3 linked regions of the Canis lupus familiaris genome follow. Each later gene encodes a partner of the first gene's protein in a complex. Links are inferred from orthologs where the notes say so. Each region holds a gene or a part of one and is shown in the gene's direction. Other genes may lie near its edges. The genes, in order: RGS7, GPR158 and GNB5.

Region 1 (3,649 bases):
TCTCTTAAGACTCTATAGCCTACAGTGCCCTTCATCTTTGTGGCCATTTTCTCATTTTGTGCATGACTACATCTGCCATTAGAGCAATAATTGATGATGTTGAGGATAACATAGACCTAGTAGTTTCTCTTTTCAGGTACTTTTTCATTTTAACAAATTATAATGATATACATATTCATCTTTTCAACATTATTTCTAGTTCTAACCAAAACATATAACTTAGAGCAAAATTTAAAGAAATTAAACCCATTAATACAATGTGGCCCTTTATTATTAGACTTTTCTATTTGCTCTTATCAACCAAAATATGTTCTAGTGTTCTTTGCTTACAGTATATATATATTTTGTATATATATTCTATGCAGAAGTATATAAAATATATTTATATATTTAGAAATAACTCAGTATATATTTGTTTTTTTCAGAGCTTCTGAATTGCTATGATGTCTCCACAAATTTAAACCTTTCAAACAATGGCATGGGAAAGCTTGTTGCTTCTGTCATTTCATAACTCTCTGAATTAAATAGCCTAAAATTAGTTACTTACCCTGATTTCTCCAGCTAGGGCCTTTTCTGATCTTGTATCCAGTCCTCTTTTAATTCCAGTAAAGCTTCACTGTAATTCTTTTGCCAGATAGAGCAGAAAATCCTTTCCATAGGATTTTCTCATTGCTCAAATGGACAAAAGATCCAAAGAATACAGTATAATGCCCTACTTCATCCCCCCAAGCAGATGCTCTATGTCACCCACCCTAATTCCCTTCAAACTCCTCTCCCTTTCTAAATGATTCTTTAGCAGTGCCATTTTGCTCTACTAAAAATTAAAGTATAAGAATCAGGGCTCTGGGAGAACTGGTTTTAACAGCAAACACTTAAAAGAGATTGTTTTCAACATTTCCTTTTGAAAAATTTATATATTTGAATACAACTAATGAAGAAAAGGCCATCTATGGGAAGCCCTCAGAAAAAAAGGAACTCATTATTATGCATTATCGTGAATAGTATGATCAGTCAATATGTTAGAATTTGCAGATTATGAGGCGTCACAGTAAGTGATTGGTGTTTCATTTTGCATAGATTCTGGCTAGCAGTGGAGGACCTGAAGAAAAGGCCTATTAGAGAAGTCCCTTCCCGAGTTCAAGAAATATGGCAAGAATTTCTGGCTCCAGGAGCCCCCAGTGCCATTAACTTGGATTCTAAGAGCTACGATAAAACAACACAGAATGTGAAGGAGCCTGGACGATACACATTTGAAGATGCTCAGGTTGGTATATGGGTGGGCCTCACCACCGTAAGTCACAGATGTGCTCCTGGGAAGTTAACATTTGACATACTTTTGCTTTATTTTCATTTAATTGGCGACTAGGCTTAATATTTTCAATTTAGATAACTATATGTAAATAACTCCAATTGACTTAAAAGAGAACAGACACGTTAAAAAGAACAGTTACTAGAGCCTGAGAATGCTTTGTAAATTTGAATGTTTTTACCTGAATATTCCTTAAAGGGGAATGGTTGAAATATTGGAACAATTTTACTTCATTTTCTACTTTGTCACTCAGTATGTTAGAAAACACTTATCTAATGGTGGTCCCACCTCAGTAGCACATATTTGAAATCTTAAGTTGTCTTCCAATGTGGAGATTTTAAGTTTCTGGCATTCTTAAATTATTCATTATGATGACTTATCAGAACTAAACTAAGTAGCTTAGAGTTATGTCACACTCAAGCCAGTTTTGTCTCTGATGATACAATAAAATGATAGATTTAGGCATGTATGAATTTTCCAAGTTATCTTTTTAATCTGTGAAAAGAAAAAAAAGGAAATTTATGTTAGATGTTAATTTCCTTAGTGTTTTTTTTTTCTCAAACTGGACATAATTGCCTCTTTAGACATAATCTGAATTTCTATTTTCTCTAAAAAATTGTGCTCAAGAAGAACAATAAACTTGAAATGAGAGGATATTATTTTCCTAATGATATGCTGAAATTGGCTTTTAAATCAGACCATTCATACTTCTTAATTTCTTAAACCTCTTCTGGAGAAGAATATTAGTTCTAGAAAGTATTTGGTTTTGCAAATAACAACATTACTAATATAAAATATAGAAGATGAAAAATAAGATACACACATGCCCTTCCTTGTTTGCAGTCTCAGTGGAAAGTACATTTCTCCTGGCTTTGGTTAAAAGAAAAGAGCCATCGTATAGAAAACTAACAATAAGTAAGTAAGTGCTCAGATCTGCTTATTAGGCTGAAACAGCTAACCAGATACCCAGTCTCTCTGGCTCTGCCATGTCCTTCTATTTGGAAATAATTACAGATACACAGAAGAAAGAGCAGGATGAAAATTGTAGCCCTGTTGCTTACTTCTCTGTTGATTTATCTTTCTTTCAGTTCAAGATAAAATTTCAAACATTTTTCTAGAGCCAACAATGTATAAAATGTTTGGGTTAACCTTCCTAAAGTCCTAAAAGGAACATTTCTTTGTTATCTGTGGCATTAAAAATATTCTTGTTTATTAGGCGTTCAATAAAATGAAAAGGCATAGGGCACCTGGGTGGCTCTTGGTTAAGCATCTGCCTTCGGCTCAGGTCATGATCCCAGGGTCTTGGGATGGAGTCCTGCATCAGGCTCCCTGTTCAACAGGGAGTTTGCTTCTCCCTCGCCCTCAGCCCCTCCCCACCACTTGTGCTTGCTCTCTCTTTCTCTCTCTCTCTCTCTCTCTCAAATAAATAAATAAATAAAAATCTTTTTTAAAATGAAAAGGCATAATTTTCTACAGAAAACATTACCACCTGACCCTGTACTTCTTTTTCAGTTAAGTTCAGCTATTTAACTCCAGTTTTTGCTAGTTTTTTTTAAACCTCTTCTTCAAAAATATAGTAATAGAAATTCCTGGCATTATTTGAGAAAAGACCCAGTGTAATGGCTAAGAAAGCCATTTCTAGAGTCATCATTGGCTGAGTTCTAGTCAGAGCTCTGTTGTGTGTCCTCTTCTTCATATTTAAAATGGACATAATAATGGTTCCCAACCTCACTGAGGTTTTGTGAAGATTAAATTTACTAATATAGGCAAGCATTAGAAGTGTGACTGACATATATTCAAGCAGATCTGAGCACTTACTATGGATAACTCCCTTACTTTGCTAAACGTAAGGCCTTTGGGCCTCACAACAACCTTTTTTATGTATTAAAAAAATGAGAGTCAGAAAGATGAATAAATTGGCCTAAATGTATATGTCTGTAAGTGGCAGATCTTGAGCACAGTAAGATTTGAATCCCAAAAAGCTTGACTCCAAAATAGGACATCACCCCACTTTTCCAACAACAAATTCTGATAGGGTCCCAAATGTACCATACTCTTGGAGATGAGCCTTAGGCTAAATATTGAGCAAGAGTAAATCCAGATTATTGCCAGTATGTTTGAGATCAGGGAAATGAGTCATTTCCTAAAATATATATTTTCTGCAAACAGAGATTAGGACATCCAGGATACTCTCTGCATCTAACTGGTATTTCACTAGACTAGAAAGATGAAGGAGTTTTTATGCTCCATTGAGCTGCAGTGGGCGAGAGCAGAATCTACCTCGATTGGGCTAGCAGTGAATTGGATGAATACACTTTTTTCCTTGACTTCTTCATCTAC
Region 2 (3,649 bases), on another chromosome or scaffold:
ACATAGAACATATGCTATTCCTTTTTTATTTAGTCTGTTGTTTGTCTTAACCATGATCCCTTGTCCCAGGTGGCATCAAGCAGTTATTTGCATATTTATTTCTAGTTAGACTGTAAACTTCTAGGACTATATCTTATTCTTCCATGTTGCCCCGCATAATGCCCAGCATATGATTATCACTATATAAATATTTGCTCGTTATACTTATATTTCAGTTATTTATATATGATTGTCACTATATAAAAAGTCATTCATTATGCTTATGTATTCAGTGTCTAGTACTAAAGAATTCTCCTTTTTCTGCCTAGCCAAAATATAGAAGACCATAAAAATGGGCCAGATTTCCTCTTTTGAGTTCCTAGTCATTCAAAATTTAGAATTCATTCAGGTATACCCAGAGACAATTATGTGTACATAGTGGCTGCAAGTTTCTCCTGCAGAAAATAAAATTGACACTGGCAAAAAATAATAATAATGATAATAACGACAATTTTTTAAATGTCTCTTATTTCTAAGAGTTCTCTGAATTTTTTGATCTGCTAATTATAATAGAAGGCTTCTTATAGGGTTAATCATTGACCAATAAGTTGATTAACTTGTTTAAAGCAAAAAAGCATTAAAGAAGTGTATAAGAGGCTGTGACTTAAAACACACAAATAATCATTTACCAACTTTTTAAAAGATTTATTTATTTCAGGGAGAGGGGGAGGGAGAGAGAACATGAGTAAGGTCAGGGGCCAAAGGAAAGGAAGAGAAATTCTCCCACTGACTCTGAACTGAGCACAGAGACCCACACGAGGTTCAATCCCAGAACTCTGACATCATGACGTGAATCAAAATCAGGAGTCAGATGCTTAACTGACTGAGTCACCCACGTGCTCCTCACTTACCAATACTTTTGAGGAAAAACTTCTTTGACTATGGGTCAGGTATTTGGAGTGCATTATTCTCTTTCTAACATAAATTACTATAATCATTATTTACTGTTCAGTGTTGGTTCTTTAGATAAAAGTGTAAATCTAAATATTTTTAAAGTAATCTGAGTATAGACTTTCTAGATTCTTGTTTATTGACCACTCCAATAAACTAAAATTTCCTCATTTTCCCCTCAGTTAAAAGCCTATTTAATGACTTGCCGACATGGAGTCTTTCCAAAGCATTCGAGATAGATTATTTTATTTTATTTTATTTTATTTTGTTTTGTTTTATTTTTATTGGAGTTCAATTTGCCAACATATAGCATATCACCCAGTGCTCATCCTGTCAAGTGCCCCCCTCAGTGCCCATCACCCAGTCACCCCAAACCCTCGCCCACCTCCCTTTCCACTACCACTTGTTTGTTTCCCAGAGTTAGGAGTCTCTCTTGTTCTTTCTCCCTCACTGATATTTCCACTCATTTTCTCTCCTTATTTTATACAAATAAGTCTTTTTTTTACATCATGAGTAATTATTTTATTCGTAATTTAGTTAAATTATATAAGGTGATAACAATGGGCACGATTTGGGGACAAATACAACTGATTTCTTAACAAGTAGCAATTCCCCTGGTTGGAGCAAAAGCGTTTGAGGCACACTAGACAGAGCTAGCAAGTTAGCTGCCAGTACTAGCATTTACATGGCATGGGCAGTACTCAATATGTTTTACCTAGGGAATGGAGAATAGCCGTTAATCTGGTGAACTAGTAAAATGGTACTAGAGTAAAAAGAGCTACTATCCTCTTATTTTATACTAATATCTTTCTGACATTGTTCCACAGAAAAGTTAAGTGTAGGTATTTTATTCAGAATTAAATAACTTCACCCTTTGTGTTAGCTGAAGGACAATGGAGTTAAAGGTATAGGGAAGAAGGATAAATAAAAGTCTGCTGTAAAATAACTTTCTTTGTTGGATGTATTGTGTTGATTCAGGAAGAGCTACCAAAGGTCTATAGAGAGAAAAAAAAAAGTATAATACATCTAGGCTATTTCAAGTATGCATGTTTCATTTCCAATTTCATCCCGATCTTCTTCCTTAATATAGTGATCTTAATTCAGTTACCCTAGTATTTAAATACCTCTCTCATTGTTTTCATGTTTATTTCATTATTTTTTTTGGTAATGTGATAAAATAATTACAAAGGGAAATCAATTTGTATAATTTTCACGGGATGCCTGGGTGGCTCAGCCTTCGACCCAGACTGTGATCCTGGAGTCTGGGGATCGAGTCCCACATCAGGCTCCCTGCATGGAGCCTGCTTCTCCCTCTGCCTATGTCTCTGCCTTTGTCTCTCTTCTCTCTGTGTATCTCATGAATAAATAAATAAAATCTTTAAAAAAAATAATTTTCAGAAAATGCCTTTCATGTTATTCTATTGTAAAAAATTAACTGGTTCAGGGAAGTTTTTGGCTTAGTATAATAGTGTGAAATCTAGCTACTTATTTTCAAGACTAGTTTTGATCCCTTGGAAATCTTGTTTGAGCCAGTTTGCCTCTGGATCCTTTTTTTTTAAGATCTTGAGTATGTTCCCTAAAATATTAAGACACACTCAAAATAATTTCATCCTGTACAAATCTGTTGACTCACTGCCATCTAAAGTAGAATATCTGTTTTGCTATTGGAAGATAAAAACTAGAATGAAATTAAGTGAAAATAAAAGCAATACTGTTTCTAGGTTTTTTTTTTTTTTCATGTTAAAACTCTGCATAAGTAGGTTTTTGGTGGGCTTAAACTTCACCTAGAAGAATCAAATAATATGGAGTTTTTCTGAGTGCTAAGTTTGCCTTCACATTTTGATGTTTTGCTTTTCCAGGGTTTTGAAGGTGTTTCTTTCACGAACAGCCCAGCGGATTCCATATATGACTGGTGGACGGGTCATGAGGATGCTGGCAGTAATGCTCCTGGTAGTATTTTGGTTTCTTGTTGGCTGGACTTCGTCTGTTTGCCAGAATTTGGAGAGGCAGATTTCACTTATTGGCCAAGGGCAAACATCTGATCACCTCATCTTCAATATGTGCCTCATTGAGCGCTGGGATTACATGACAGCAGTTGGTATGTGGTCACTTATTTTGTGCGTTGTCTGGTCCTATTTCCTAAAATAGACTTCTTTAGAAGCCTTACCATACCCTTTTACAAAACTGAAAGGGATTTCACCTAATATGGTTTGGGTAAAACAATATCATGAAAAGGACAATGACATGTGAAATGCAGACTTTTTCTGAGTTTCCATTCTTTTTCAAAGGTATGTAGCTTTGTTGAGAAAATGTGGTCAAGTAAATTAGGAAGGAGAAATGCAGCAAATAAAAACAACTACTTCTTACAAAGAAAATTTCTGTTTTCCACCTTATCAGTGTATTCCCATTGTATTAACAATAGCTGTTTTCTTGATTTATTTCTTTAATTGGGAGGGGAAAAAAGGGAAACATACTAGTATTTTTTATATAGTTTAGGTCCTGTGATATTTCAGACTAGGGATGCAGGGCACATTTTGAGTAGAGATCTTCCCTGCAAAAATTTTAATTAATCTATGGCTCTTCTAAAGATAATTTATTAGGACTTCTCTGGAGGTCCAGTATTCCACAAAAATGAAGCCATGCTCCTTGGGGTTGGTGAGAGACTGTTCCATGCCTGAGAAACTGGAGAACTTGGAAGAACCACATGACATCTTAGGCC
Region 3 (3,649 bases), on another chromosome or scaffold:
ATGGGAAGGGAAAGGGGAGCTGGTAGTTAATAGTATCTGCTATGATGGAGAAGCTGCTAAAAAGTTCATTCACATGATCTTATTTAATTCTCCTAATAGCCCTAGGAAGTAGATTTTCCAGCGAAGGAAACTGAGCTCAGAATCTAACCTCTAGACGACCATGTATAGATTAATACAGATTACTTCCAACTTTTCTTTGGTAAACAGCTGCCCAGGACAGCAAGTAGAAGCTGGATTCCTCAGGCAGGGAGGGGTGAGGACATACCCCCAAATCCTGTTTGGGAATGTTTGCTCTAGAGTTTTTTTTTTTTTTTTTTTAAGATTTTATTTATTTATTCATGAGAGACACAGAGAGAGGCAAAGAGAGAAAGGCAGGCTCCACGCCGGGAGCCCAGCGGGACTTGATCCCAGGACTCCAGGATCACGTCCTGAGCAGAGAGCAGACTCTTAACCGCTGAGCTACCCAGGCGTCCCATGCTCTAGAGTTTGTAACCTTAATCCACCTTCCCATTTTGCACACATGCACACATACACACATACACACATACATGCAAGCTCATGGACAGGCAAAAGGGAGAAGCAATGCGTTGGCTCCTCCACACTTAAGTCGCCAGGCATGTAGCTGAATGGAGCCACATTGTCTAGGTCCAAATCCTACCTTTACCTCTTTCTTGGGAGTGTGACTCAAGCAAATCATATAACCCTTCTGTGCCTCAGTGTCCTCATTTGTGAAATGGGGATAACAGTATCCATTCAGGGTGACTGTTGTGATTTATTAACGCAAAGTGCTTGGAACAGTGCCTGGCACCAGGACTTCTACGTAAGCGCACAGGGAGGCAAGTTTCGGGTTCGCTGGGGGGGAGCACCGGGGCTTCCCAGGACGAGGCCGGGTCTCCATCCGTGGTGCGGCCTGGGCCTCGCTGCCCGCTCCCCGCTCTCTGCGCTGCAGGAAGCAGCCGCGCCGCAGCCTACCAAGTCCCCCTGAGCGGAGACGGGTGCCGGGGACGCGGGCGCCAGGAAGGCCGCGCTCCGGGACCTCAGCGGCTCCCGGGGGCCGGGCAGTACGTGCGCGTCCTCCGCCAGGTCATCTCATCACCTCTGCGCCTCGGCTCTCCCGCCGGTGAAATGGGCACGACGCTCCCCGCTTCCCGGGGCGGGGTGCGCAGCAGCGCCACGGCGGGCATCGCCCTGGGCACGGCGCCGGGCGCGCGCGGCAGGTGCCCGGGCGGGGGCGCGGGGGGCGCGGGGGGGGGGCGGCGGGCATCGCCCTGGGCACGGCGCCGGGCGGGGGTGCGGGGTGCGGGGGCCGCGGGGGGCGCGGGGGGGGCGCGCGAGGGGGGGCGGCGGGCATCGCCCTGGGCACGGCGCCGGGCGCGCGCGGCAGGTGCCCGGGCGGGGGCGCGGGGCCGCGGGGGGCGCGCAGGGCGGGGGGGCCCACGGCGGGGGGGTTCGGCCGCCGCGGCCCCGCTCGCACCGCCCGCGTCAGCGCCGGAGGGCGGGGCCGCGGCGGGGCGAAGGCAGCCGGAGCCGCGCCGGGGGCCGCTCCCGCCCGCTCGCCGGCCAGGCCTCCGCCGCCCGCGCGCCCGCTCACCCGCGTCCCCGCTTCCCTCCCCGCCGCTTCCCGGCGCGAAGATGGCAACCGACGGGCTGCACGAGAACCAGACGCTGGCGTCGCTGAAGAGCGAGGCCGAGAGCCTCAAGGGCAAGCTGGAGGAGGAGCGGGCCAAGCTGCACGACGTGGAGCGTGAGTGCGGGCCGGGCGGGGGCTGCGCGCCGGGAGGCGGCCGAGGAAGCCAGGAGCCCCCGGGGAGCGGGCCGGGGCGGGAGCTGGGCCTGCGCCCGCCGCGGAGGGGCGCCCGGCCCCGGCCCCCGGCCCCGCCCCGGCTCCCGGCCCCCGGCTCAGGGCGCGGGGCGAGGCGAGGGCTGCGGCCGCGGCCCTGGGGCCCGAGCCCGGCGGCCCCGGAGGCCCGGACGCCTTGCACAGGCCGGTCCGCTGGCCGAGGCCGCGCCGCCTCCGGGCGGGGGCGCGGGGGTGGGCCCCTGGCGGCCGCTGTCCCCACCCGCGGCGCCCACCTGGGGACCTCGGGACCTGTGCCCCTTGCCCTGCCTGGAGGATGCGAACCGACCGCGGCGGCGGGGGCGGCGGGGGCGGGCTTTCTCCATCACTGTCGTGTGTGTTTTCTCAGTTTTGCTTTTACAAGGAGCCAGACTCTCAGTTAAAAAAAAAATCTCATTTTTCCAGTCTGCCCTCTTGGCTTGGGGGTGGAGACCCGGATGAGGGAAGAAGAGCAGAGCAGCTTTTACCAAATCCAATGACTTCGTTCCTTTAAGGCTATTTAAGAAGCTTTTGAATGGATGCGGGTGCGATTGGCAGAAGAGAGCAACAGCAGTCTTAAATAAACGTACTCATTGGCCACTAGATCATTCAGAAACCGCTCTGTGACTTTTATGAGTGAGCAATTAAATAGACAGGTGAAACGACTTGGTGGGACCAGCTTTCCTTTACTGTCAGATGGTTTGTCCCCAGCAGAGTTTGGGCTCAGGGCCAGACTTGGGGAAGTGGCTTTTACCTGCTTATCTTTCAGCTCTGAGAGTGGCAGCTCCCGGTTTGCTGAGCACAGCCTCCCCCATGGTACCCTCAGGCACTCCTGTGCATTGTGCTCCTACCATTCCTATTTGGTGCCACCCCTTTTAAATTCTATTTGGAGCAGAAACATGGGGTTCATGCTAGGTCCTTTAACGCCTGACTCCTCTCTTTGAAAATCACTTGATGGAAGCAGGTGACCTGAATCTAGAATGTGCTGTGCTTTGTAGGGACTTCCTTTAAATTAGACGTGCTAAACCCCAACATCATTTAGGGATGTGTCCAGCTACAATTAACTATAAACCCCAAATAAAGTAGCTAAGCAAATTGGGAGTTCTTTTCCTTATATAACAGGAAGAAGTGTAGGTGATCACCAGCTCTGGTCCAGCTGCTCAGCATGCCATCAGGGACTCACGCTCGAGTCTTTCTCCACCACCACCCTGAGAACATTGGCATTAGCCCTGTGATTATGATATGACCTCCACAGCTCCAAATATAACCTTTGTATCCAGGACAAGAAGGAGAAATATGGGCACCAGCCCCTGTTTCTCCTTCTTTTTTAAAATATTTTATTTATTTATTCGCGCGCACGCGCGAGAGAGAGAGAGAGAGAGAGAGAGAAGCAGAAACATAGGCAGAGGGAGAGAAGCAGGTTTCCTGCAAAGAGCCTGATGCAGAACTTGATCCTGACCCCAGGATCACTCCCTGAGCCAAAGGCAGACGTTCAACTGCTGAGCCACGCACGCATCCCGTCTGTTTCTTCCTCTTATCAGAAAAGCAGAAGTCTTCCCCATCACCTCCTTTCTCCCAACAGATTTTGTACTTTATTGGCCAGAAATAGGTCACAAAGCTACTGCAATGAAGCTGGGAAAGAAAGAAGTGAGCTGGACACATTGTCACCCCCAAATAAAGCTGGCTTTCCGTTGTCAGGAAGCATTATGGAACAGAGATTGGGAGGCACTGGACAAAGCCTGCCTCATTTCACTCTGCCATTTCCTACATTCTGCAGATGTTATCGATGATGCTGTGAGGGCGGTGTTGGCACCCCTGAGGTAGGTCTGAGTT

The links.
Region 2: the proteins of RGS7 (region 1) and GPR158 are in contact, whole or in part, in a cryo-EM structure (PDB 7SHF), measured with the Homo sapiens proteins. The link is inferred for Canis lupus familiaris from reciprocal best matches to the Homo sapiens genes RGS7 and GPR158. Residues at the interface, in NP_001351815.1 of Homo sapiens: Gln35, Ile43, Ser55, Arg109, Phe110, Thr112, Pro113, Tyr114, Phe115, Lys134, Thr136, Lys140, Ala141, Arg142, Leu143, Leu145, Ala146, Asp147, Ala150, Leu153, Gln157, Trp164, Phe168, Met169, Gln170, Glu172, Ala173, Gln174, Lys176, Val177; in NP_065803.2 of Homo sapiens: Leu507, Lys508, Phe510, Leu511, Arg513, Thr514, Tyr595, Tyr598, Ala599, Thr602, Val603, Pro604, Ile714, Arg715, Leu718, Lys719, Tyr722, Leu725, Glu726, Tyr728, Lys729, Arg730, Met733, Ile734, Thr735, Asn736, Asn737.
Region 3: the proteins of RGS7 (region 1) and GNB5 are in contact, whole or in part, in a cryo-EM structure (PDB 7EWP), measured with the Homo sapiens proteins. The link is inferred for Canis lupus familiaris from reciprocal best matches to the Homo sapiens genes RGS7 and GNB5. Residues at the interface, in NP_001351815.1 of Homo sapiens: Pro19, Leu22, Val23, Lys26, Val30, Ile72, Val76, Glu77, His80, Leu81, Leu84, His88, Val207, Asp213, Ile214, Lys215, Lys216, Leu258, Gln261, Ile262, Trp265, Gln266, Gln268, Leu269, Arg271, His272, Arg273, Leu274, Lys275, Met276; in NP_057278.2 of Homo sapiens: Leu57, Glu60, Ala61, Glu62, Leu64, Lys65, Leu68, Glu71, Lys74, Leu75, His76, Asp77, Val78, Glu79, Leu80, Val83, Leu90, Phe93, Arg98, Arg99, Leu109, Lys117, Arg118, Ser134, Phe135, Trp149, Met151, Leu167, Tyr197, Ser206.

The regions. Positions count from the first base shown.
Region 1 is NC_049228.1:32,252,008-32,255,656, reverse strand, and holds part of RGS7 (regulator of G-protein signaling 7), read left to right. Parts: intron 1-1,077; coding exon 1,078-1,264; intron 1,265-1,490; exon of another isoform or gene 1,491-1,804; intron 1,805-3,649. UniProt on the Homo sapiens protein: GTPase activator component of the RGS7-GNB5 complex that regulates G protein-coupled receptor signaling cascades.
Region 2 is NC_049223.1:5,811,863-5,815,511, reverse strand, and holds part of GPR158 (probable G-protein coupled receptor 158), read left to right. Parts: intron 1-2,789; coding exon 2,790-3,028; intron 3,029-3,649. UniProt on the Homo sapiens protein: Metabotropic receptor for glycine that controls synapse formation and function in the brain. Acts as an atypical G-protein coupled receptor that recruits and regulates the RGS7-GNB5 complex instead of activating G proteins.
Region 3 is NC_049251.1:18,167,263-18,170,911, reverse strand, and holds part of GNB5 (guanine nucleotide-binding protein subunit beta-5), read left to right. Parts: intron 1-1,198; exon of another isoform or gene 1,199-1,217; intron 1,218-1,538; exon of another isoform or gene 1,539-1,632; coding exon 1,633-1,744; intron 1,745-3,593; exon of another isoform or gene 3,594-3,636; intron 3,637-3,649. UniProt on the Homo sapiens protein: Enhances GTPase-activating protein (GAP) activity of regulator of G protein signaling (RGS) proteins, such as RGS7 and RGS9, hence involved in the termination of the signaling initiated by the G protein coupled receptors (GPCRs) by accelerating the GTP hydrolysis on the G-alpha subunits, thereby promoting their inactivation.